Linked DNA regions of Anolis sagrei. The protein of the gene in region 3 purifies or fractionates together with the protein of the main gene of each other region. This does not show direct contact. Links are inferred from orthologs where the notes say so. Each region holds a gene or a part of one and is shown on either strand. Other genes may lie near its edges.

Region 1 (8,017 bases), on a different chromosome or scaffold from region 3:
TAGAATTCGATCAATGAACTGACAGAGAATTTGTCTTGGTTTCTGCACAACAGTATTGTATTCCTCTGGGGTGGCACTGGAATTAATGTATTTAACAATTAGCATTGTCTCTCTACTTTCATATGTTACTCTGAATGTCACAAGTTATCTAGCCATTCATTTCCATCAATTGTGGCTTTAATTAAAACTATGGGTTTCACTTCACATCCCCACTACATTACCAGTAATGCAGTGGGGATGTCTATGTCATCAGCATTAATTTGTAAATGACCATTTACATTTCATCGTTTGCAGCTTTACAATTTGATTTTCATCAATCACAACCATGCACATATACTGGCTAACAGATAGCAGCACATTATGAAGCAACTTTTCATCTGTAGGTTATGCATAATTGTTTTAATACTGTTGTTGTGCGTCTTGCTTAGAAACCTTTCTTACAGATGGGAATGCCACTTCAGCTATGCTTCCAACTGCCTTTTCCCTCAAATAGCCAAATGGAAATATTATGTGAATAGGTTCTAATGGTTTTAACTATTTTAATAGTTACAATGTTTAATTGTATTTTAATGTTTGTATGCTTTCTATGTTTTAAATTATACATTGTATTGCGTTTAATGTTAGACACTTTGGGTCTCTTTTTTAGTGAGATAAGCAGGATACAAATAAAAGCAGCAACAACATACCCTCAAGTATGTAAAACAAGCATAAATACCGAACATTTACAGGATTTGCAAGGCTTGCTAAGGAGACAAATTTTCCTTTTTCGTGAAGCAAGGCTGAAGCATTTTCTACACAGTAAAACACCATATGTTGTCGCAAACAGATTTGTGTACATATCTAAGTGGCATCTAGAAATCGTGACCCCAATACTGAGCTAAGGGGAGTCTCTTTTGCGGAGAGAAAAAGTGGGGTATAAATAAACAATAACAACACTATGTAACAAAATAGAAAAAAAATCAGTTTCTGGTTTAAAAGCATTATTTCTTGTTTAATTGTGTGCTACTTACTTTGAAAGTCAGGCATGGGCAAACTTGGGCCCTCCAGGTGTTTTGGACTTCAACTCCCACAATTCCTTAATTAAGCAGTTGAGGGAGAAAGGAAGGGGTCTGAGGCTGTTAGGAATTGTGGGAGTTGAAGGTCAACAAACTTGGAGGACCCAAGTTTGCCCACGCCTGTTGAAAGTTGTCGCTATACTCCAGAAACTTCATTTTTGTGGCTGCCACAAACTATGTTGCATTGGTTGAGACTCTATGAGATATTCATTTTAAAAACTCTAGCAAGATGTGCTGCAGTATGTCCCGCAAAAACAAGGAGACTCTAATTGATATATGTTTTTGTTGACATTGACTGTTTTATTTGGTTTTATATTTAAGCTAATTGATTAAATCGTATTTTATGTTTTTGATGCTGATTGTAAACTTCCCTGAGAGGGGCGGTAGATAAATATAGTAAACTAGCCATTCCCTGTCATGCGTTGCTGTGGCTCAGTCTGGTGATCTGGATAATAAAGTAATGAGGAAGTGTTGGTTTCTAATATATGTAATTTTTTATACTTGTGGGTAAACAGTATTTCTTGCTGTTTCTTTGTCAGTGTTGATGTGGAGATTGTCTGTTTTGCCTACTCTGGATCATACAACATATAATTTTCCTTTTTTAGGAGTCTCTTTGAAATCTATGATACTATATGTGTGTGAATCATATCTATCTATCTATATCTATGGCTAGATGGCTCTTTGTCAGGAGGGCTTTGAAAACGTTTTCTTGCTCTGGTGAAGGGAGTTGGACTGAATGGCCTTAAATATTTTCTGTTGGTCATGGGGATTCTGTGAGGTAAGTTTGGCCCAATTCTATCGTTGGTGGGGTTCAAAATGCTTTGATTGTAGGTGAACTATAAATCCCAGTAACTACAACTCCCAAATGTCACAGTCTATTTCTCCCAAACTCCATCTGTGTTCCTACTTGGGCACATGGAATATCCGTGCCAAGTTTGGTCCAGATCCTTCATTGTTTTAGTCCACAGTGCTCTCTGGATGTAGGTGAACTACAACTCCCAAACTCAAGGTCAATGCCCACAAACCCTTCTAGTGTTTTCTGATGGTTATGGGAGTCCTCTATGCCTTGTTTGGTTCAATTCCATCATTGGTGGAGTTCGGAATGCTCTTTGATTGTAGGTGAACTATAAATCCCAGCAATTACAACTCCCAAATGACAAAATCAATTTTTTTAGTGTTGCTCACTCCTTGGGTTAGTAGGTGTCTTGTGGCCAAATTTGGCAGCAATTCGTCCAGTGGTTTTTGAGTTATGTTAATCCCACAAAGCAACATTACATTTTTATTTATATAGATAAAGAGATGGTTTTTGCATTTTAAGCAGCTTCCCCATGTTTTCCTGATTAGGAATTAGGAAATTACATTTATAACCCAGGAACAAAAACCATAGAATCATAAAGTTGGAAGAGACCTCATGGGCCATCCCGTCCAACCTCCTGCCAAGAAGCAGGAAAACTGTATTCAAAGCACCCCCGACAGATGGTCATCCAGCCTCTGTTTAAAAGCCTCCACAGCTGTGTCACATATAATGTTCTATTTTTCCACACTGTGTACCCTGAACCACCCAACAGCAAAGGTGCAACTGTTGCTACTGTTCTTTGGGTGGTTTTGGAGGGTTTGGGGCTTACCTGCCCAGTTCCCGGAGGGCAGGAATCACGGAGGCCATCTCCAGCCCCTGGTCGCCCATCCTCACTTCGACTCAGTGCCGTTTCCCGCCTCCTTTTCCTCTTCTAGGCAGGGAAGCCGCCCTCTGGACGGGAGCTGACAGGCGCCAAACTTCCCACAAAGGCGTTTTGCCCTTCCCCCTCCCTCTCTCTTTCTCTCTCTCTCACGACCAATTTCAAAAGAGATTGCTATGAAAACACGATGCCGCCTTCTTTTAAATTAATATTAATAGAGGAAGTTCTGTTTCAACTATCGCGTTATCTCACTCATTGACTAAATTGTAACAACATATTCAATTGCAGGTCCTCTTCTATCCCTTTAAGCTGTGACAGGACTAGTTTCCGCTTTCATCGCCATGGCAACACCGCGTGGGACGCTGGGATTTTGAGTTTAAGCGAGGGATAGTTAGCCCGCTCAGCCAAAGAGGTTTCGGGTCTCACTGAACTACCAAACCCAGAATGCCACAGAATGTTGCCGTGGCAACTACAGTAGAACATAGAGCTATAACAGTGTCCCTCTGTTCTGCAGTTTAGGTGCTATTGAATCCAGGACCCTTCCAAACAGCCATATAAACAGAATATCAAGGCAGGAAATCCCATATCTACTTTGAACTGAGATATATGGCAGTGTGGACTCAGGACCTTTCCACACAGCCACACAATCCAGAATATCAAGGCAGGAAATCCCATAGTATCTGCTTTGAACTGAGATATATGGCAGTGTGGACTCAGGGCCTTTCCACACAACCACATAATCCAGAATATCAAGGAAGGAAATCCCACAATATCTGCTTCGAACTGAGATATATGGCAGTGTGGACTCAGAGCCTTTCCACACAGCCGTATAATCCAGAATATAGCACCAAAGCACCCGGTGGCGCAGTGGGTAAAACCCCTGTGCTGGCAGGACTGAAGACCGACAGGTCGCAGGTTCGAATCTGGGGAGAGGTGGATGAGCTCCCTCTATCAGCTCCATCTCCTCATGCGGGGACATGAGAGAAGCCTCTCACAAGGATGATAAAAACATCAAATCATCTGGGCGTCCCCTGTGCAACATCCTTGCAGACGGCCAATTCTCTCACACCAGAAACGACTTGCAGTTTCTCAAGTCACTCCTGACACGACAAAAAAATATCCAGAAAATCAAGGAAGGAAATCCCACAATATCTGCTTCGAACTGAGATATATGGCAGTGTGGACTCAGGGCCCTTCCACACAGCCACTGTTGTTTATTCGTTCAGTTGCTTTCGACTCTTTGTGACCTCATGAACCAGCCCGCACCAGAGTTCCCTGTTGGCCGTCACCACCCCCAGCTTCTTCAAGGTCAATCCAGTCACTTCTAGATATGATCGCTCCGTCTTGTCCTTAGTCGGCCCCTCTTCCTTTTTCCTTCCATTTTCCCCAGCATCATTGTCTTCTCTAAGCTTTCCTTTCTTCTCATAATGTGGTCAGAGTATTTCATCTTTGCCTCTACTATCCTTCCCTCCAATGCGCAGTCGGGCTTTATTTCCTGAAGTATGGACTAGTTTGATCTTTTCGCAGTCCAAGGCACTCTCAGAACTTTCCTCCAGCACCACAGTTCAAAGCATCTATCTTCCTTCGCTCAGCCTTCCCTAAGGTCCAGCTCTCACATCCGTAGGTTACTACAGGGAATACCATGGCTTTGACTAGGTGGATCTTTGTTGCCAGTGTGATGTCTCTACTCTTTACTATTTTATCGAGATTGGACATTGCTCTCCTCCCAAGAAGTAAGCGTCTTCTGATTTCCTGGCCACAGTGTGCATCTGCAGTAATCTTTGCACCTAGAAATACAAAGTCTGTCACGGCCTCCACGTTTTCTCCCTCTATTTGCCAGTTATCAATCATTCTTGTTGCCATAATCTTGTTTTCCTATATATTTAACTGCAACTCAGCTTTTGCACTTTCTTCTTTCACCTTGATTAGAAAGCTCCTCAGTTTCTCCTCACTTTTGGCCATCAAAGTGGTATCATTTGCATATCTAAGGTTGTTAATGTTTCTTCCAGCAATTTTAACACACAGCCATATAATCTAGAATATCAAGGAAGGAAATCCCATAATATCTGCTTTGAACTTCACTTCACTTCACTTCACTTCACTTTATTTCTTAATTAGTCGCTCTCCACCAAGGTGCTCCGAGCGACTTACAATCTAAAATAGCATTTACACAATATAAAAACATTCAACATAAAAACATTCAACAGTGACTATTTGGCAAATTAGATCTGATTACTTAAATGCACAACCAAACAGCCAAGTCTTGAGCGCCTTTACAAAAGGTCGCAACTCCGACATTGCTCTAATGTATGGAGGCAATGAGTTCCACAGAATTGGAGCATAGTTCGAAAAAGCTCTACGCCTTGTAGCTTCCAGGTGTACTTCCCTAGGGCCCAGTATGTATAGGAGATTTTCCTGGGTAGATCGAGATGACCACGGATGGAGATATATGGCGAAGTGGACTGAGGGCCTTTCCACTCAGCTATGTAACACAGAATACCAAGGCAGAAAATCTCACCATATCTGCTTTCAACTGGGTTATCTGAGTCCACACTATCATATATTCCAGTTCAAAACAGATAATGTTGGATTTTATTCAGCTGTATGGAAAAGGCCTTAAGGCCCTTCCACACAGCCATATAACCCAGAATATCAAGACAGAAAATCTTGATTTCAAAGCAGAAAATGTGGAATTGTATTCAGCTATGTGGAAGGGGCCTCAATGGGACATACTTCAAAATAGACTCTTACTGTGTTTACTAGCCTTGCTGTTGTGTACCTTCAAGCCTTTCCTGACTTAATGGCGACTTTAAGGTAAGGTTTTTATGGGGCTGAGAGAGTGTGACTTCCAAGAAGTTCAAACCCTGGGCTGGAATCATTGGGTGTGTCCACACTTTGTTATTAATGCAGTTTGACCCCACTTTAGCTTCCCTGGCTCAATGCTATGAAACTCTGGGATTTGGTGAGGCACCCTGGCTCTTTGGCAGGGAAGGCTAAAGGCCTTCCAAAATGACAATGTCCATGATTCCATAGCATTGAGCCATATGGCAGTTCAAGCGGCATCAAACTGCATTCATTCTTACAGTGTGGACATATCCCAGATCAGATTGCATCCATACAAATCTGTACTGCCTCATCAAGAGTTAAACCCCCATGTCATCACATTAGTGGCAGAATCTTATTATTATTATTAGCGTATCTGTACAAAGAAAAGTGGATTTTCTTCTTTTTCTTTTCCATTTCCTCTGCTGAAATTTCGATACAGAAAATACAAGACAAAGTATCAAAAGAAGGCCTTGAACTCGCATTGTGTGGAGGGGGAAGACGAGGACGGGAATGATTAAACACTGATGGGCAGAGGAGAGCCAATCTGGAGGGTGATTTCCTGCTTCATGTCTGAGTGCTGAGGCCCCATCTATACTGACCATTTAATACAGTTTGAAGACAGATTCAAACTTTGGTGGCCAGACAACAAACTCCCACAAAACCTTGTGAGAGAAAGCCTTTAATACGCAGCAGTACTCTGTGGTTTGTGTAATTACCATCCAGTTCTCAAACTGATGCTAGGAATTCCTATGTAATAATTGGCACAGCTAAACCATTTTCTTCAATGCTGGTTTCAAACTGCATTAAATGGTCAGTGTAGATGGGGTCTGAGACGGAAAGCAGCTTTCAGCAGCCGGCATCCTGAAAATAAATTGCTTTAACACACATCACACCACTTTCTGTCATTCTTGTGCATCGATATATATTACGTTGTGGTATCTAGGAAAGCTGAAGAAAGTGTGCATCCACACTGTAGATTTAATGCAGTTTGACCCCACTTTAACTGCCATGGCTCAGTTCTGTAGAGTCATGAGAGCTATAGAAGTTCTTATAAGTTCTTTAACCTTCTCTGTCAAAGAGTGCTGATGCATAACTAAACTACAAATCCCATGGTTCCTTAGCAATGAGCCGTGGCAGTTCAAGTGATGTTAAACTGCATTAATTTGACAGTGTAGATGCACCCACAGAGTGTTTATTTGGCAATGTTTTTGACAGCATGCATTTGGATTTGCTCAGTCTGTGCAGAATATAATGTATGAATCAAATGCAAAACATACACTAGAATTGTATATATATTTTCCAACCAGAGAAGTCAGCTATAGCAGAACACTTGATGAACCAACCTGGACACAGGATATTATTTGAGAACACAGAAATGCTGGACCACTCTAAGAATTACCATGTCAGAGTCCCCAGAGAAACCACTGAAATCCACAAGTACGTGGAAAATGTCAACAGAAGGGAGGATACAATGAAAATGAACAAAATCTAGCTACCAATATTAAAAAAAACACCAGAATCATGCTGCAAGTGAGAATGTCCCCAATTAAGGACCTTCTCACGACGCCTGAGGCACTCCAAGTGGCCAGCTTCTGGTCAAAGGACATTTAGCCTAATGCCAAGTTTTCAACTTTGTATTTTTAAATATATTATAACTGTACCCTCAATTCGCTTCTGACACTATAAATAAATAAGACAGTAAATAATGAATCCCACTCAGAAACAGGAGAACTCCAGACAGCAAGCAATCAAGTGCCAGTTAACACCTCCCAAACAAAGGATGTCCCCAGACAGCAACAACTAGGCTTTGCAGCTGCAAGGCTACTCAATGCTAATCATAGAATCATAGAATCAAGAGTTAGAAGAGACCTCATGGGCCACCCAGTCCAACCCCCTGCCAAGAAGCAGGAATGTTGCATTCAAATCACCCCTGACCAGCCTCTGTTTAAAAGCTTCCAAAGAAGGAACCTCCATCACACTCTGGGGCAGAGAGTTCCACTGCTGAATGGCTCTCACAGTCAGGAAGTTCTTCCTCATGTTCAGATGGCATCTCCTCTCCTGTAGTTTGAAGCCATTGTTCCGCATCCTAGTCTCCAAGGAAGCAGAAAACAAGCTTGCTCCCTCCTCCCTGTGGCTTCCTCTCACATATTTATACATGGCTATCATATCTCCTCTCAGCCTTCTCTTCTTCAGGCTAAACATGCCCAGCTCCTTAAGCTGCTCCTCATAGGGCTTGTTCTCCAGACCCTTGATCATTTTAGTTGCCCTCCTCTGGACACATTCCAGCTTGTCAATATCTCTCTTGAATTGTGGTGCCCAGAATTGGACACAATATTCCAGGTGTGGTCTAACCAAAGCGGAATAGAGGGGTAGCATTACTTCCCTAGATCTAGACACTATGCTCCTATTGATGCAGGCCAAAATCCCATTGGCTTTTTTTGCCGCCACATCACATTGTTG
Region 2 (7,552 bases), on a different chromosome or scaffold from region 3:
TCTGTTTTCTTCCAGTCACCCTTAACAATTAACTCTGAAAACAAATAATACTAATGTGTTGTGCTCAGTGGAATAACACAAACATGTTATTCCGTAAAAGGAATTATTTTTATGCCTCAACATCTTATAAGGCCATGCTTTCAGAAAAAAAGAAAACTATTTCAAAGGAAAACCTCCATTCCCATTTCGAAAAGAAGTCCTGGCTTTTTCATGCAAGCTAATAATAATAACAACAATTTTATTTTTATACCCCACCTCAATCTGCCCGAAGGGACTTGGGGCGGCGTAAACATAGGACAAAATGTCCACAAAACATCAAAACAAAACAATCCATTAAAACAAAAAACACGATTAAAATAAAACATAGCAAAGCATAACAATCAGATAAAAACACAATTAAGTAAAACATTAAGGTATGAAACAACAGCATTAAGACTCGTTCAAAAAATGAATGACAAAAAACGATAACTAAAAATACTGAGATGGACCTGATCAGGCTATAAAAAGGACTGGGCATGGGATAGTGCAAAACAGCATAGCATAAGGTCGGGGATTGGGAAAAGTGCCGAGAACAGAGTACTATCTGGAGAACTAGGGACTGGGCATTTATAAGTAGAGACTAGTCATTCCCAAATGCTTGTTGGAACATCCAGGTTTTCAGATCCCTATGAAAGGAGGACAGTGTAGGGGCTTGCCTAATCTCCCTGGGGAGGGTGTTCCAAAGTTGTGGGGTCACCACCAAGAAGGCCCTCTCCCTCATCGCCACCAACTGTGCATGTGAAAATGGTGGGAGCAAGTGGAGGGCTTCCCCAATGGATCTAAGGACCCACACCAGTTCATGGGGGAGATGCAGTCACAAAGATAGGTGCTTTGTAGGTCATAACCTGCACCTTGAAACCTACCGATTTCTTTTCATCTTGTGTCGCAGAAGGGGATGCAAAGCCTCCAGGCGATTGTGTATATCCTCCTCCTCCCCCATATGCACTGTCATAGCCACCTGAAATTCAAAAGATAAAAATAATAGGGCAAAGCTGCAAAGTTACTTTCATACTTCTCAGTCTCTGGGGTTTAAGAGTAGGGAGCAAATTGGAAATAGATCAGAAACAGGTTAAAGTGTATCCATCAGTACCAACTGCACATTCTGACAGATGGCAGATGGGTGCAGGCCAGATGTCACACTTCCACCTGCGACATCAAGAGCTGGGCAAAGGAATTCAGTTATTAATTGAAATATTTATAGCATGCCCTCTGTACAGAAATCTCAGGTGGCAGGCAAGAAAAACAACACACAAATGTAAATATACATGCTAAAATTATTTATTAACTTACAATTATGTTACGTGAGTAACAGGTTTTTAAGTGATTTTACCATGTTTTTTTTTAAAGTCCGGTTATTTCTATTTTATTGCTTCTGTGGGTTTTAATTGTATGATTTGTAATTTTAGGCACTTTGAGTCTCCATTAGGAAATAAATAACCTTCTCTTCTGCAGGCTAAAATACCTAGCTCTCCAAGACACTCCTCATAGGGATTCATGGTCTCCAGATCTTCAATCATTTTAGTCACCCTCCTTCCAACTTGTCAATATCTCTTTTAAACTGTGGTGACCAGAACACAGTATTCCAGGTGAAGTCTGACCAAAGCAGAATAGAGAAGCACCATGACTTCCCTCGATCTGGGCACTAAATGTGATCAAAGTACTTCATCTCTGCCTCTAATAGATTCCCTCCAATGAGTAGTCGGGCTTTATTTCCTGAAGTGTGGACTGGTTGGGTCTTCTCAGGGTCCAAGACACTCTCAGGACTTTCCTCCAGCACCACAGTTCAAAAACATCTATCTTCCTTCGCTCGGTCTTCCTCACTATGCGGATCTTTGTTGCCAGTGTGATGTCTTTACTCTTCACTACTTTATCGAGATTGGTCATTGCTCTCCTCCCAATAAGTAAATGTCTTTGGATTTCCTGGCTGCAGTCTGCATCTGCAGTAATCTTTGCACCTAGAAATACAAAGTCTGTCACTGCCTGTTATGGTAATTTTGAATTCTGATCCTGTCCTCTGGAGTATTGGCTATCTCTCCTAATTTGGTGTCATTTGGAAACTTGATAAGCATGCCCTCTAAACCAGGCATGGGCAAACTTGTGCCCTCCCTCCAAGTGTTTTGGACTTTAACTCCCACCATTCCTAACAGCCTCAGGCCCCTTCCTTTTCCCTCTCAGCCGCTTAAAGGATGCCTTGCTCTGACCAATTCCCAGCAAAATGTCCTCAGAAGCACCTTAACTACCCATTGGGTTGATCTCCTACATTATCCTTTAAAACCCTTCTGCTTAGAGACATCCTACCTCTGTTCGCGTAGTGTTTATTTTAAAATTTTAATCTATTTATGGCCATACATTTTTAATTTTTTGTGTTATTGCTTATATGTGAGTTATATTAATTGTACTGTTTTATTTGCTTGCTGTCTTGTTTTACTGATGTGTTGTTGGGCTTGGCCTCATGTAAGCCGCCCCGAGTCCCCTTGGGGAGATGGGAGGGGATATATATAAAGTTTTATTATTACTATTAAGTCCAAAGCACCTGGAGGGCCCAAGTTGGCCCAGGCCTGTCATAGAATCATAGTATAATAGTTATACATGCCTGCTGTAAGAGTCTTTTCAAAAACTAAAATTCCCAGAAGGCCCCAAATCACAGTATTTTGCTCTGAAAAGAGCACAAGGAGAAGCCACCCCTCCACCAGGCCTAAGACCTCAAGCAGGCCCTTCAATGGAGGGGCACTCCATCCTCCCGACATCTAGGCCTCAAGCCTTTGAGGGCTTCAACTATTTCCCTTGAGTTCAGACATGTTCAAAGAAGCCCCCTCCCCCCCTCCTCCTCCTCCTCCTCCCCCCCCACAGCCTTCCCTTGCTTCGGCCCCGCTTTCCCTCCTCTCGGCTCCCTCACCGGTCCCGGCCCACATCCCGCGACGATGAAGAAAGTCCGCGACACGCAGCAATGGCAACCTTGTCCCACCGGCAAAAGAAAATCAGCGGGCTCCCCTGGCGCATGCGCTCCTTCTTCAGCAAGGCGCGCGCAAAAAGCAGCGCTCGGGATAGGCCAGCTACAGGCCCCGCCCCTACCGCGAGCCGCCAATCAGCTTCTTCATAAGGTAGGCCTTGCAAACTTGGGCCTTCCAAGTGTTTTGGACTAACTCCCACCATTCCTAACAGACTCAGGCCCTCAGGAAGGGTCCTGAGTCTGTTAGGAATGGTGGGAGTTGAAGTCCAAAAACACCTGGAACGCCCAAGTTTGCCCGTGCCTGTTATAATTGGTTATTAGTTCCGTCACAATGGAGGGCTGATGGCTCAGCCTCCTTTGATTCTTTCTCCTGAGGGGCTTGTGTTGGACATCAGTCCCCATTATCCCCAGGCAGCGCAGAAGATGGCTAGTTCTCCCAATGAGCTTCTTCCTGAGCAGCACTGCAATGCCCTACTGGCCGTTCTCTTTGCCTCCCTCCAGTGGACACAACGAGAACAGCACCCTTGGTAGAAGCGCCTTTTGCGGCTCCAATGTGGGGTTTTGGCGCCATCTTGTGGGCGCGTCACGAAATTGCATCCTTTTACAGTTCAGCCATCGGGTTTTTGTTGTCTTTGTGCTGTCGCGCGCTGGGCCTGTGCATATGACTGTAGTTGTTGTTGTTCATTCGTTCAGTCGTCTCCAACTCTTCGTGACCTCATGGACCAGCCCACGCCAGAGCTCCCTGTCAGCCGTCACCACCCCCAGCTCCTTCAAGGTCAGTCCAGTCACTTCAAGGATGCCATCCATCCATCTTGCCCTTGGTCGGCCCCTCTTCCTTTTGCCTTCCACCTTCCCCAGCATAATTGTCTTCTCCAGGCTTTGCTGTCTCCTCATGATGTGGCCAAAGTACTTCAACTTTGTCTCTAGTATCCTTCCCTCCAGTGAGCAGCCGGGCTTTATTTCCTGGAGGATGGACTGGTTGGATCTTCTCGCAGTCCAAGGCACTCTCAGAACTTTCCTCCAGCACCACAGCTCAAAAGCATCGATCTTCCTTCGCTCAGCCTTCCCTAAGGTCCAGCTCTCACATCCGTAGGTGACTACAGGGAATACCATGGCTTTGACTAGGCGGATCTTTGTTGCCAGTCTGATGTCTCTACTCTTCACTATTTTATCGAGATTGGACATTGCTCTCCTCCCAAGAAGTAAGCGTCTTCTGATTTCCTGGCCACAGTCTGCATCTGCAGTCATCTTTGCATCTAGAAATACAAAGTCTGCCACGGCCTCCACATTTTCTCCCTCTATTTCCCAGTTGTCAATCATTCTTGTTGCCATAATCTTGTTTTTTTTAATGTTTAGCTGCAACCCAGCTTTTGCACTTTCCTCTTTCACCTTGATTAGAAGGCTCCTCAGCTCCTCCTCGCTTTCGGCCATCAGAGTGGTGTCATCTGCATATGACTGTAGACAGGACATAAATTCTGTGTGCCCAACGGGACGCCGGGGCTGCCTCAGATTAAAGGCCCTTGGACCCCCCCAAAGTTCTGTAGAGGCTTAAAGTAAGTCCAACAAAGTTATTTATTGATAAAAAACAAACAGGTACTTAAAAGTTTTCATAACAGTCTATAGGCTCTTGCAATCTTGTTCACTGGGAACAGGCACTATCTTCATAACTATATAATAACTAATGGGGAAATCCTTAACTTCCAATCTGGGCAGTCTGTCTTTGCCTCTGTTGGCATGGAGCCCCTGCACCCGGTACCAACTGCATCTGGCTTCCACAAGCGACCCTTGCCCCAACAGAGCTTTGTAGACTTCCAGGGGAAAAGAAGGAATTCAGGTTGCTGTGATGGCTGGCTGAAGTCCCTCAGCAAAGGAGCTGAAAGGCTGTATGATCCTCGGCCAAGCTGTGGGCTGTATAACCCTGGCCAAGCTGTAGGCTGTATATCTCCCCGGCCAAGCCGTAGAAGATGAAGCTTTCTACAGGAGCTCTTCGTTTTATGTCCTGTGCGAAAGGCTTCTCTGTGAGAACTGACTCAAAAAGGCTCCTATTCCCTCCAAAACTCAAAAAGGGGCAGGACCAGGGAACCTAACAATAATTGACAGGTGGCTTGCCCTATGATTGCAGCCAAAAGAAGCCACCTATCTGCAGAGTCCCTGAAACTTGGGACTATAACAAACATTCAATGCAAAGCAAACAAAATGGGAGCTTCTGGTACAGCTGTACTGGCACAGTCTTATTGATAATGTTATATGTTTATGTTTTATTTTAATTGCTTGTATTGTTGTGATTATTGCTTGTATTGTTGTGTTTGGGCTCGGCATGTAAGCCGCACCGAGTCCCTTGGGGAGATGGTAGCAGGGTACAAATAAAGTGTTGTTATTATTATTATTATTATTATTATTATTATTATAGGGAGGCTAGTAGGCTTCTCCATGCAGTCATGCCAGCCACATGACCTTGGAGGTGTCTATGGACAATGCCAGCTCTTCAGCTTAGACATGGAAATGAGCACCCCACCCCAGAGTCGGACACAACTGGACTTCATGTCAAGGGAAAACCTTGACCTTTTGGTAAGCTTCTAAGAGATCTGTGGCAGTGTTTCTCATCCTGGGGGTCGCGAGGAGGGTGTCAGAGGGGTCGCCAAAGACCATCAGGAGACAGTATTTTCTCTTGGTCATGGGGGTTCTGTGTGGGAAGTTTGGTTCAATTCCATCATTGGTGGAGTTCAGAATGCTCTTTGATTGTAGGTGAACTATAAATCCCAGCAACTATTTATTTATTTATTTATTTATTTCTTGCATTTGTTAACCGCCGCTCTCAGCCCTAGGGCGACTCGCGGCGGTGTACAGTACAAAAAGGACACTTTACAAAGGAATCAGAACAACAATTAACATCACTAATACATAACATCTAACTTACACTAAAAATCCGCTCCGTCATATTTATGGAATCATAGTCAATCTCGTAGTCATAGTTCAATCCGGTTGTCATTACCCGTAACGTAGCATTTAGTTGAAAGCCTGCTCGAAGAGCCAAGTCTTCAGGCCCTTACGAAAGGCCATGAGGGAGGGGGCCTGTCTGATGTTAGCAGGGAGGGAGTTCCACAGCCGGGGGGCCACCACCGAGAAGGCCCGCTCTCTCGTCCCCGCCAGACGTGCCTGTGAGGCAGGCGGGATCGAGAGAAGGGCCTCCCCAGATGATCTCAAGGTCCTCGTGGGCTCGTAGGCCGAGATGCGGTCCGCAAGGTATTTTGGGCCGGAACCGTTTAGGGCTTTGTAGGATAACACCAGCACCTTAAATTGGGCCCGGTAGCAAATCGGCAGCCAGTGGAGCTGGAACAACAAGGGCGTTGTATGCTCCCTGCGTCCTGCTCCTGTTAACAACATGGCTGCCGCGCGCTGGACTAGCTGCAGCTTCCGGGCCGTCTTCAAGGGCAGCCCCACGTAGAGAGCGTTGCAGTAGTCAAGACGGGATGTGACCAGAGCATGTACCACCGTGGCCAAGTCAGACTTCCCAAGGTACGGGCGCAGATGGCGCACAAGCCGAAGCTGTGCAAATGCTCCCCTGGTCACCGCTGAAACCTGGGGGTCCAGGCTCAACGATGAGTCCAGGGTTACACCCAAGCTGCGAACCTGCGCCTTCAAGGGGAGTGCGACCCCATCCAGCACAGGCTGTAACCCTATACCCTGCTCGGCCTTGCGACTGACCAGGAGTACCTCTGTCTTGTCTGGATTTAATTTCAGTTTGTTCGCCCTCATCCAGACCATTACAGCGGCCAGGCACCGGTTCAGGACTTCGACAGCCTCCTTAGTAGCAGGTGGAAAGGAGTGACAGAGCTGGACATCATCTGTGTACAGATGACACCGCACCCCGAAACTCCGGATGATCTCACCCAGCGGCTTCATGTAGATATTAAACAGCATGGGGGACAGGATAGAACCCTGAGGAACCCCACAGGTCAAAGGCTGTGGAGTTGAACAGGAGTCCCCCAATAACACCTTCTGGGTCCGTCCCTCCAGGAATGACTGGAGCCACTGCAGAGCAGTGCCCCCAAGACCCACTCCCGCAAGGCGCCCCAGAAGGATACCGTGGTCGACGGTATCGAAGGCCGCTGAGAGGTCCAGGAGCACCAACAGGGACACACTCCCCCTGTCTAGCTCCCGGCGCAGATCATCCACTAAGGCGACCAAGACCGTCTCGGTACCATGTCCCGGTCTGAAACCAGACTGTGCCGGATCCAGATAATCCGTGTCTCTCAAGAGTACCTGGAGTTGTGAAGCCACAACGCTTTCCATGACTTTGCCCAAAAAGGGAAGATTGGAAACAGGCCGAAAGTTGTCAAATTTAGTGGGGTCCAGTGATGGTTTCTTCAACAGCGGCTTTATAATAGCCTGTTTTAGGCTCGCTGGAATCTTGCCTTCCCGAAGGGAGGCATTAACCACCACCGTTACCCACTCAGCCAATCCCCCTCTGGCCTCCCTCAGAAGCCAGGATGGGCAGGGGTCTAGGATGGACGTGGTGGGCCTCATTCCTCCAAGTATCTTGTCCACATCCTCGGGCTTCAC
Region 3 (7,918 bases):
AGCATAACTATGCTAGTGAGCCAAGGACCAGCTTTTTCTTCAGCTTCTGCAGATATGCAATAGCAGCCAAACACTTCTGGGCTTAGTAATACTCATCTTCTCAGCCACTGCATGAATACACACTCTCTCTAGCTGCATTTGCGTTATGGAGAGGAACCAGCAGCAACAATTGCTACTGCCACCTGGACAACAAGTTATGGCCTTATAGTTGATCTACAAGATTCCAGACAAAAATAACACTTTTTACTTAGTAAATACAAATGTGCAAATTCCAGAAAAATCAATCTGGGAAGACTTGTCTAATTTAGGGCACCACAGATAAAATGGTCCAATATGGGAAGCCATCACACTACCAGGGATGGGAAATCCAGAGCAAGGCATCCACCAATGGCCTTAACAAGAGACTGTCTTGTTATTCTAACAAGATAATCTAAATCCAAACAATTAAACCCTTTTACTCCACAACTCAAAGTTTAGATTACACAAAGGAGGAGTTTAAATAAAAACAACTGCAATGAGTAGTTACCCAGCTTATATGCAATTGGTGACTGAGGATCCCAGAAGATCTCTTGCTGCACATCGGTTTCATTTGCAGGAGAACTGAACGTTGGCAAGCGTGACCTGCCTGCTCGTGTTCTTTTGGGAGTCTTATATGAGTTAGTTTCTGTGTGATAGACATGCAAAAAGGTACTTTAGTAAAAATAATAAAAACCAAGCAATATTCTTGAATAAAATGAGTAACATTGCATGGACATCTGTACTCTTCTGATGATGAACATGAGCAAACAGCAATAGGTACCATATATATTTTTACGAGTCAAGGACAGTTTGTGGCCTCCCAAAAGTGGATTTTCATGACCTGTAGACAAGTTTGAGGGTTATTCCACAGGCCAGCACTGCCTCAGGAGGGTAGCTGTATTGAGAAAATGGTTAATGTAAGTTCTGCTAGAAGTCAACTTCATGGCTTACCCTCTCTCCCTAATTTTCACACATAAATCACCTGGCAATAAAAAGCATAGCCACTTTAACAATGCATTTGAACTGATTTTTTTTGGTTCCTCCTCTGTTCAGCTGTTTCAATTCTAGTTTGCAATGCTGAGCACTTTGTAACTAAAAACATGCATCTCAGTTTCCTTGTTTCGTACTCCACTTTGCCTGTGGTATTGCAACTTCTAAAACACAGGGCATGGGGAGTATTGTTTCTTGTTACATCCAGATCTAGGAGTACAATATGGTTAAAGAGGGGAATAAAAATGTTTCATGTAAGTTATGCCTTTTTCTCCAGCCCACTTGAGTCAATAATATGGATGTCATCACTTCATATCAATCCCAAGGTAACTGTTCCCTGCAGTCATCAATGAACATTTCAGGGAAAGATCCACTCTGGGGTAACAATGCCTTATCCCAGCTCTGTCTAACCATTGTATAACTGTGGATTAAATCCTATGAAATGCATGAGGTTGCCATAAAATGACAGGCAACTTGGACACACATGCATTACATGTCCCTTAAAGTATTTCAGATTGCAGTTCCTATACTGCCTGACCACTGGCCATACTATGTGGGGGTGACTCAAAACTACCAGTTTATTGTGTAGTAAGCCATTAATGACGCGGAGTAACACCTTCAAGTGGGCCTGGTATGCCCCAACTGTGGATAACATAATCATCAATTTTGATTTACCTTATCTGAAAGCATTTTATGTTTTTGGCATTTCTGTGCTACAAGGGGAGTTGATCCTGAATAGATTTGTTTAGGATATCACTTTGCCTAATTTTGCATAAACTTTGCCTAATTCAGCCAGTAAGAACCAAGTTCTCAGGGCCTTTCCATACAGCCCTATAACACAGAATATCAAGACAGAAAATTCCACATTATCTGAATGTGGACTAACCCAGTTCAAAGCAGATATTGTGGGATTTTCGGCCTTGATATTCTGGGATACAGGGCTGTGTGGAAGGGCCCTGGGTTATCTCACACTACTATACAATCCTGTTCAATGTGGATTTTATACACATTGAAGGGGCCTGAGAGAAAATATCCATACTTCAAGAACAGTTCCCGTTCAAAGCAGAAAATGTGGGATTTTATTCAGCTGTGTGGAAGAGGCCTCATTTCTGCATAAAGAAAAAAAGTCTATCCTTTCTGTCTGCTTGTATGGATGCGGCATATTATTAGGCACGACTCAGCACAGATTATAATATACTTATGCCACACAGAAAATGAGGTTTTTATAATAATTTCATTCATTATCATGAGTCCCTACAGGGGAAAATAAAGTATTATTATTATAATTTTTGAGGCACCATGGGACACTTCCTTTTTTGCAGTGGAAGGACACCTGGAAGCTACAGCAAAAAGCGAGTACAGAAGGAAAAGAGGCAAGCAAAGGATCCTGCTCAGGATCAAAATATCAGAAAAGGGTCTTTTCTTAAACTGGGAGAGGCAAGCTGTTTCTATGGATTCCAGTCTAAGCAACCAAGGGGCCTTCCCCAGACGTTTTGGGAATCACAACTTCCATCAGTTTCAAGCAGTGGTGGGGGCTAATGGAGGTTGTAACCCCAAACGACTTCCTTTTCTTGGGAAGGAGCTCCTTGTTTCTAGTGCAACTTTTGCAGAGTCCAATTCTCAGCTTTACTGCAAAACATGCCACTAGTTGTTGTTTTTCTCGTGAGGGGCGGAGAAACAACTCTCATCCGCTCCAGCTTGCAATCAGGGAAGATAGGCACTGTAACCAAAGGCAGGCCACTGCCATGGGAGGGCCCTCCCTTGCTCCCAGGGCAGCTTAGGCACCGAGGGGGGAATGTGCGATTGGGAGGCAGGGGCGAGTACCTGGAGGGCCCCGGGGGGAGGCGGGGGCCTCTCCCGCCGCTTCGCCTCCCTTGGCTTCCTGGGCACCCTCGGCCGCAGTCTTTCGCCTGCTCCTCCTCCTCATCGCGGGACTCTTGAGGCGAAGCTCCTCCACGTTTGTCGCCGCCGCCGCCGCCCGCCGTTTACTCGCCATTAGGAAAATACAAAACTCCCGCGGCGGCGGCGGCGGCAACTCCCCACACGCTCATCACACCGCCATCTTGGCCCGAGCTCGGAGGCTGCCGCTGATTGGCTGGAGCCGACGCTGCGGAGGCGAAGATTGGTTCAGCTATTTTGAGAAGGGGCGGGTGGGAGAGGAGGCTAGCCCAATCTGGTTGGAGAGGCCGGGAATGGCAAAAGGAGGCGATTCACACAGAAACTGGCAAATGGATGGAGGGTTGCTAGTGTTCAGTGACTAAAGGCGCTTTGTAATCTTTTGATGCCAGCCAGGGCCCTGCTCTAAACTGGGTTATAAAGCAGTGTGGACTCAGATAACTAAGGGCCCCTCCACATAGCCAAATAACTCAGAATATCAAGGCAGAAAATCTTACAATATCTGCTTTGAACTGGGTTATCTGAGTCCACACTGCCATATATTCCAGTTCAAAGCAAATAAAGTGGGATTTTATTCAGCCTGCGTGGAAGAGGCCTCAAGGCCTTCCGCACAGCCCTGTATCCCAGAATATCAAGGCAGAAAATCCCACAACATCTGCTTTGAACTGGGTTATCTGAGTCCACACACAGATAATGTGGGATTTTCTGCCTTGATATTCTGGGATATAGGTCTGCATGGAAGGGCCCTCAATTCAAAGCAGATATTGTGGATTACCTGACTTGATAATCTGGGCTGTATAGCTGAATGGAAGAGCCCCCAGTTCAAAGCAGGTATTATATGGCTGTGTGGCAGGGCCCTCAGTGGTCCCCAAATGTTGTTCCTCCCAGGCTTTTGGACTTCAACTCCCAAAATTCCTAACCATTAGACATGCTGGGTGGGGCTTCTGGGAGTTGAAGTCCAAAACCATTGATCTCAAAAAGATTCTATGGACATTTGTTTTGTGGGTTACAAATCGTTTATGATTTAAAGCTCTTCTACACAGTCATATAATCCAGAATATCAAGGCAGATAATCCACATAATCTGTTTTGAACTGGATTATCTGACTTTACACTGCCATATAATCCAGTTCAAAGCAGATAATTTGGATTATATATGGCGGTGTAGAAGGGGTCTCATAGTGACCCTAAGTTTCATGGAGCTGGCTAGATTTGTTTGCCTCTTCTTTTCTCTGAGGCTGAGAGCGCGAGACCTGCCCAAGAGCACCCTCAGTTTCCATAGGTTGGGCCCTGTGAAATAGCAGTATAACCGTTTGTGAAAGCATGGGGTACCTCTACACAGTAAAATCAATGCAGTTTGACACCTCTTTAACTGCCTGGATTAACTGCTATGGAGTATTAGGAGTTGCAGTTTGACAAGGTCTTTAGCCTTCTCTGCCAAAAAGCGAAGGTGTCTCAAACTACAACTCCCAATATTCCATAGCACTGAACCACAATAATTCAAGTTATGTCAAACTGCATCAATTTTGCAGTGTAGCTGCAACCTGAGATTAAGGGCCCCTCCACATATTTTGGACTATAGCTCCCAGAAGCCACTGGTAGCAGAGGACGAGGGAACCTGCAAGCAGAGAAGGCCAACTATCTGGTGATGTAGTGATTTGAAGGCTGGATTGTGGTACGGGGGTTAAGGGTGGGTTTGAATCACTGCTCAGCCGTGGAAACCCACTGGGTGGCCTTGAGCAAGTCACATTCTCTCAGCTTCAGAAGGAGGCAAATCTCTTTTGAACAAATTTTGCCAAGAAGACCCAATCAAAGGTTTTGCTTGAGGTTCGAAATGGCTTGCAGGCACAAAACTGATAGAGTTGTCAACGTAAGATTTGGTGGGGTCTCCATGGACAGACAGCATACTTCTGAAAACCAAACATGCAACTGGAATGGAGTAGCCTTCATATTTTTACTTCTCTATTTCCCAGAAATTTCTCAGGCCCCATCTACACTGCCATATAACACATTTTTGATATATATGGCAGTGTAGATAAGGCCTGACAATGATAATTCTTTAGTAGTAAGGCTTTTGCCCCTCTCTTTTACAAGACCCACGAGCATCTTCTGCCGCCTGCCCAACTTCAAACAGTTTAGCTCAGCTGAGTTGCACCTGTTTTTTCTGTCTTAAGTCATAAGCACCTGCCTTGAATGCATTTCTAACCAATATGTCTGGGGATGCACACCTGAGTGTGTTTATCCAGGAAGTCATTCCCACCATGATTATTTTGGGGCCGATAGCTACTGAATTGAATTGTTTTAAGTATGCCCAAATCCCCACAAGGTTATAGTTCTGAAGTTTATTCCTGTGCATTATTATGATTCAGAAGTTAAGGCCAGGATAAGCAAGCTGACTCCCAAATAAGTGCATATGAGGACTACTTTCTTAGCTGTTCTCCACTTAAATTGCTCAGCTGCTTTCAATATACACATTGACCCTTCTCTAATCATTATATATGGAAAACATATGATTTCATTTGGGGTTGTGGGAGGGAGGAACAGGCACATAAGAGGCCAAATAAAGGCAGCCCTCTGTACCACGGATTCAAACATCCATGCTTGAAAACGTTCCAAAATGGCTTGATTTTTTCCATTTTATATAAGGTCATTTTACTATTATTATTTATTACTATTAACTTTATTTATACCCCACCTTGCTCCTTGAGGGGACTCAAGGCAACTAACAATCTCGCACTTAGTCAAGTTTAAAAAGCACAATTCAAAAGTTAAAAAAACGATTAAATGGTGACAGTGTGATCAAAACAGGTTACAATACATTTTCAGTACTTATGACTATGAGCTGCTCCTTGCCAATCTCTCCCCCCCCTCCCCCGTTTAGTTTTGCCTGAAGGCATATTTGTACTCAGGATTTTTTCTTACAACTGGGACTCAAGATGGCTTACAATTTAAAAACAAATATAAAAACACTAAAAATATTCAAAATGGCCATTAAAATATACAACCAGTGAAAACCATTTTACAACAAAGAATCAAAGCAAATAATAGAAGTTACACATACCACTTTTTTTTTTAAAAAAACCCTCATCCTATAAAATAGTCAGGAATTAGATTTGCTACCCATTACTCTGATCAACTAATGTAGCACTATTACTGTAGTTACGGTTTCTAATAGAAGAACCAGTGTGGTATAGTGGTTTCAGCATTGGACTGTGATTCTGGAGACCAGGGTATGAAACTGCTCAGGCACAGAAACCCATTCAGTGATCTTGGGCAGGTCACATTCTCTCAGCCTCACAGGAAGGCAATGACAAACCTTTTCTGAATCAATCTTACCAAGAAAATCCTGTGATAAGCATGTTTTATGGTTGCACGAGAGCTGAAATGACTTGGACATACAACATCATCATTAGGAAAGATTATTTGGTTTCCCTGACCATTCTAATTCAAAGTAGAGTAACCTGCTTGGAATCCCCCTTTCTTAGCCACACAATGCTGTGCAGTGCATTTCAATGCTTTGGAGCAGCACACAAACTCAACCATTCAATTCCCCATTGCCCTGCATCTCTTCTCATTATTGCCCTGTGTCTCTTGCCTGAGCACTGAGAATACTCTCTTCTCAAAACCTGCTCAGAACAAGCCAACAAAGGCCAAGTGTATGTTCTGTCCTGTTATTTTGGAGAAGCCAGCTTTGCAAAGCAGCCCTCACAATGACTTACTTTTTCTGGCAGTGGCAGCAGTCCCTTTCATTTGAGCAGATGGAAGAAGGTGAACAAGTAAATCTAAAACAGGCTAGTTTTTCCTAAATAAAAATAAATACATCCAGTGAGCCTGGTTCTTCAGGTAGCTCATTTCCCCATTTCCTTGCTAGATGTTCTGCTGCAGCACAAGGCAGCCACCCATGTGACTCTTCCTCCTCTACATCCCATTGGCTGAATCGAAACACACTCCAAGGAATGAGTTGTGGGGGACACTTACATTGTAGAATTAATCCAGTTTGACCCCACTTTAACCACTGTGGCTCAGTGCTATAGAATCACGAGAGTTGTAGTTTTGCAAGGCCTTTAGTCTTCTCTGCTAAAGCGTGCTGGTGCCTCTCCAAACTACAACTCCCAGGATTCCATAGTATTGTGCCATGACTGTTAAAGTGGTGTTGAACTGCATTCATTCTACAGGATTGATGCAGCCTGTGTTGACCTTGAATTGCCAAGTTATAATTATGCTGAAAAGTGGTGCATTGTAGCCATGGCTGTTAGCAGGCAAAAAAATGACACCGTGCAAGCCGTGCAGTAACTTTTGGGAGTGTTTTTTCCCCTAAGCTTTATGTTGTTGTGGAGGGCCAAATATACTTTTGTGCTAAGCCAGAGAGATGGCTGCTCAGTCTAAAACCACTTTGCATACAAATATGTTAAACTTTCTCTTCTCCAAGCACCACTTATATTGAAATATTTCAGGAATTTCTTGAGACTTTAGCCAGTGCCTTGCGATCTGTCTGGAGAAGACTTATTCCCATTGGTACAAACATGGTGTTCTGGGGGTGAGTGAGAAGCACCATAAATTTGCTAGAATAAAGTCCACAGAATGTGGATTTCATTTGCACCAGTCCTGAGCAGCCGTAGGTGTTTTTCTTCATACTGAAACTATCAAAAAGGAAAACAATAACAGCAAGAATCCATGGAAAAATATATATATAATATATATATATATATATATATATATATATATATATATATATATCTTCTGCCCTGGTTGGTAAAAATAGCAAAGTTTTACCAACAACAACATTTTATTATAGTCCAGAGGCCCTTATTGCTCAATAAGTGTGCATAATATCAAGGTTAATAAGATTAAAAACACCTGACTGATTGAACACTCGGATGAAATTAGTGACAGTTAAAACTGGTTAAAATATGAGATTAAAACCGAAGCCATATCAGATGGCTATGAGCATAGGTAAAAGACTACAAAAAGGTACCAGGTATATTTCAGGTATAATTCTCCAATCCTGGCTGCCT

What was found.
Region 1: the proteins of ETAA1 (region 3) and ATR purify together in Homo sapiens (affinity purification with western blotting; 3 studies listed by BioGRID, with this or other methods). This does not show direct contact. The link is inferred for Anolis sagrei from reciprocal best matches to the Homo sapiens genes ETAA1 and ATR.
Region 2: the proteins of ETAA1 (region 3) and RPA2 purify together in Homo sapiens (affinity purification with western blotting; 4 studies listed by BioGRID, with this or other methods). This does not show direct contact. The link is inferred for Anolis sagrei from reciprocal best matches to the Homo sapiens genes ETAA1 and RPA2.

Annotation. Positions count from the first base shown.
Region 1 is NC_090023.1:237,163,662-237,171,678, forward strand, and holds the start of ATR (serine/threonine-protein kinase ATR), read right to left. Parts: upstream 3,029-8,017; 5' UTR 2,740-3,028; coding exon 2,681-2,739; intron 77-2,680; coding exon 1-76. UniProt on the Homo sapiens protein: Serine/threonine protein kinase which activates checkpoint signaling upon genotoxic stresses such as ionizing radiation (IR), ultraviolet light (UV), or DNA replication stalling, thereby acting as a DNA damage sensor.
Region 2 is NC_090034.1:86,980,546-86,988,097, forward strand, and holds the start of RPA2 (replication protein A 32 kDa subunit), read right to left. Parts: upstream 3,041-7,552; 5' UTR 2,952-3,040; coding exon 2,936-2,951; intron 998-2,935; coding exon 903-997; intron 1-902. UniProt on the Homo sapiens protein: As part of the heterotrimeric replication protein A complex (RPA/RP-A), binds and stabilizes single-stranded DNA intermediates that form during DNA replication or upon DNA stress.
Region 3 is NC_090022.1:136,353,018-136,360,935, reverse strand, and holds the start of ETAA1 (ewing's tumor-associated antigen 1), read right to left. Parts: upstream 3,085-7,918; 5' UTR 3,005-3,084; coding exon 2,833-3,004; intron 665-2,832; coding exon 527-664; intron 1-526. UniProt on the Homo sapiens protein: Replication stress response protein that accumulates at DNA damage sites and promotes replication fork progression and integrity.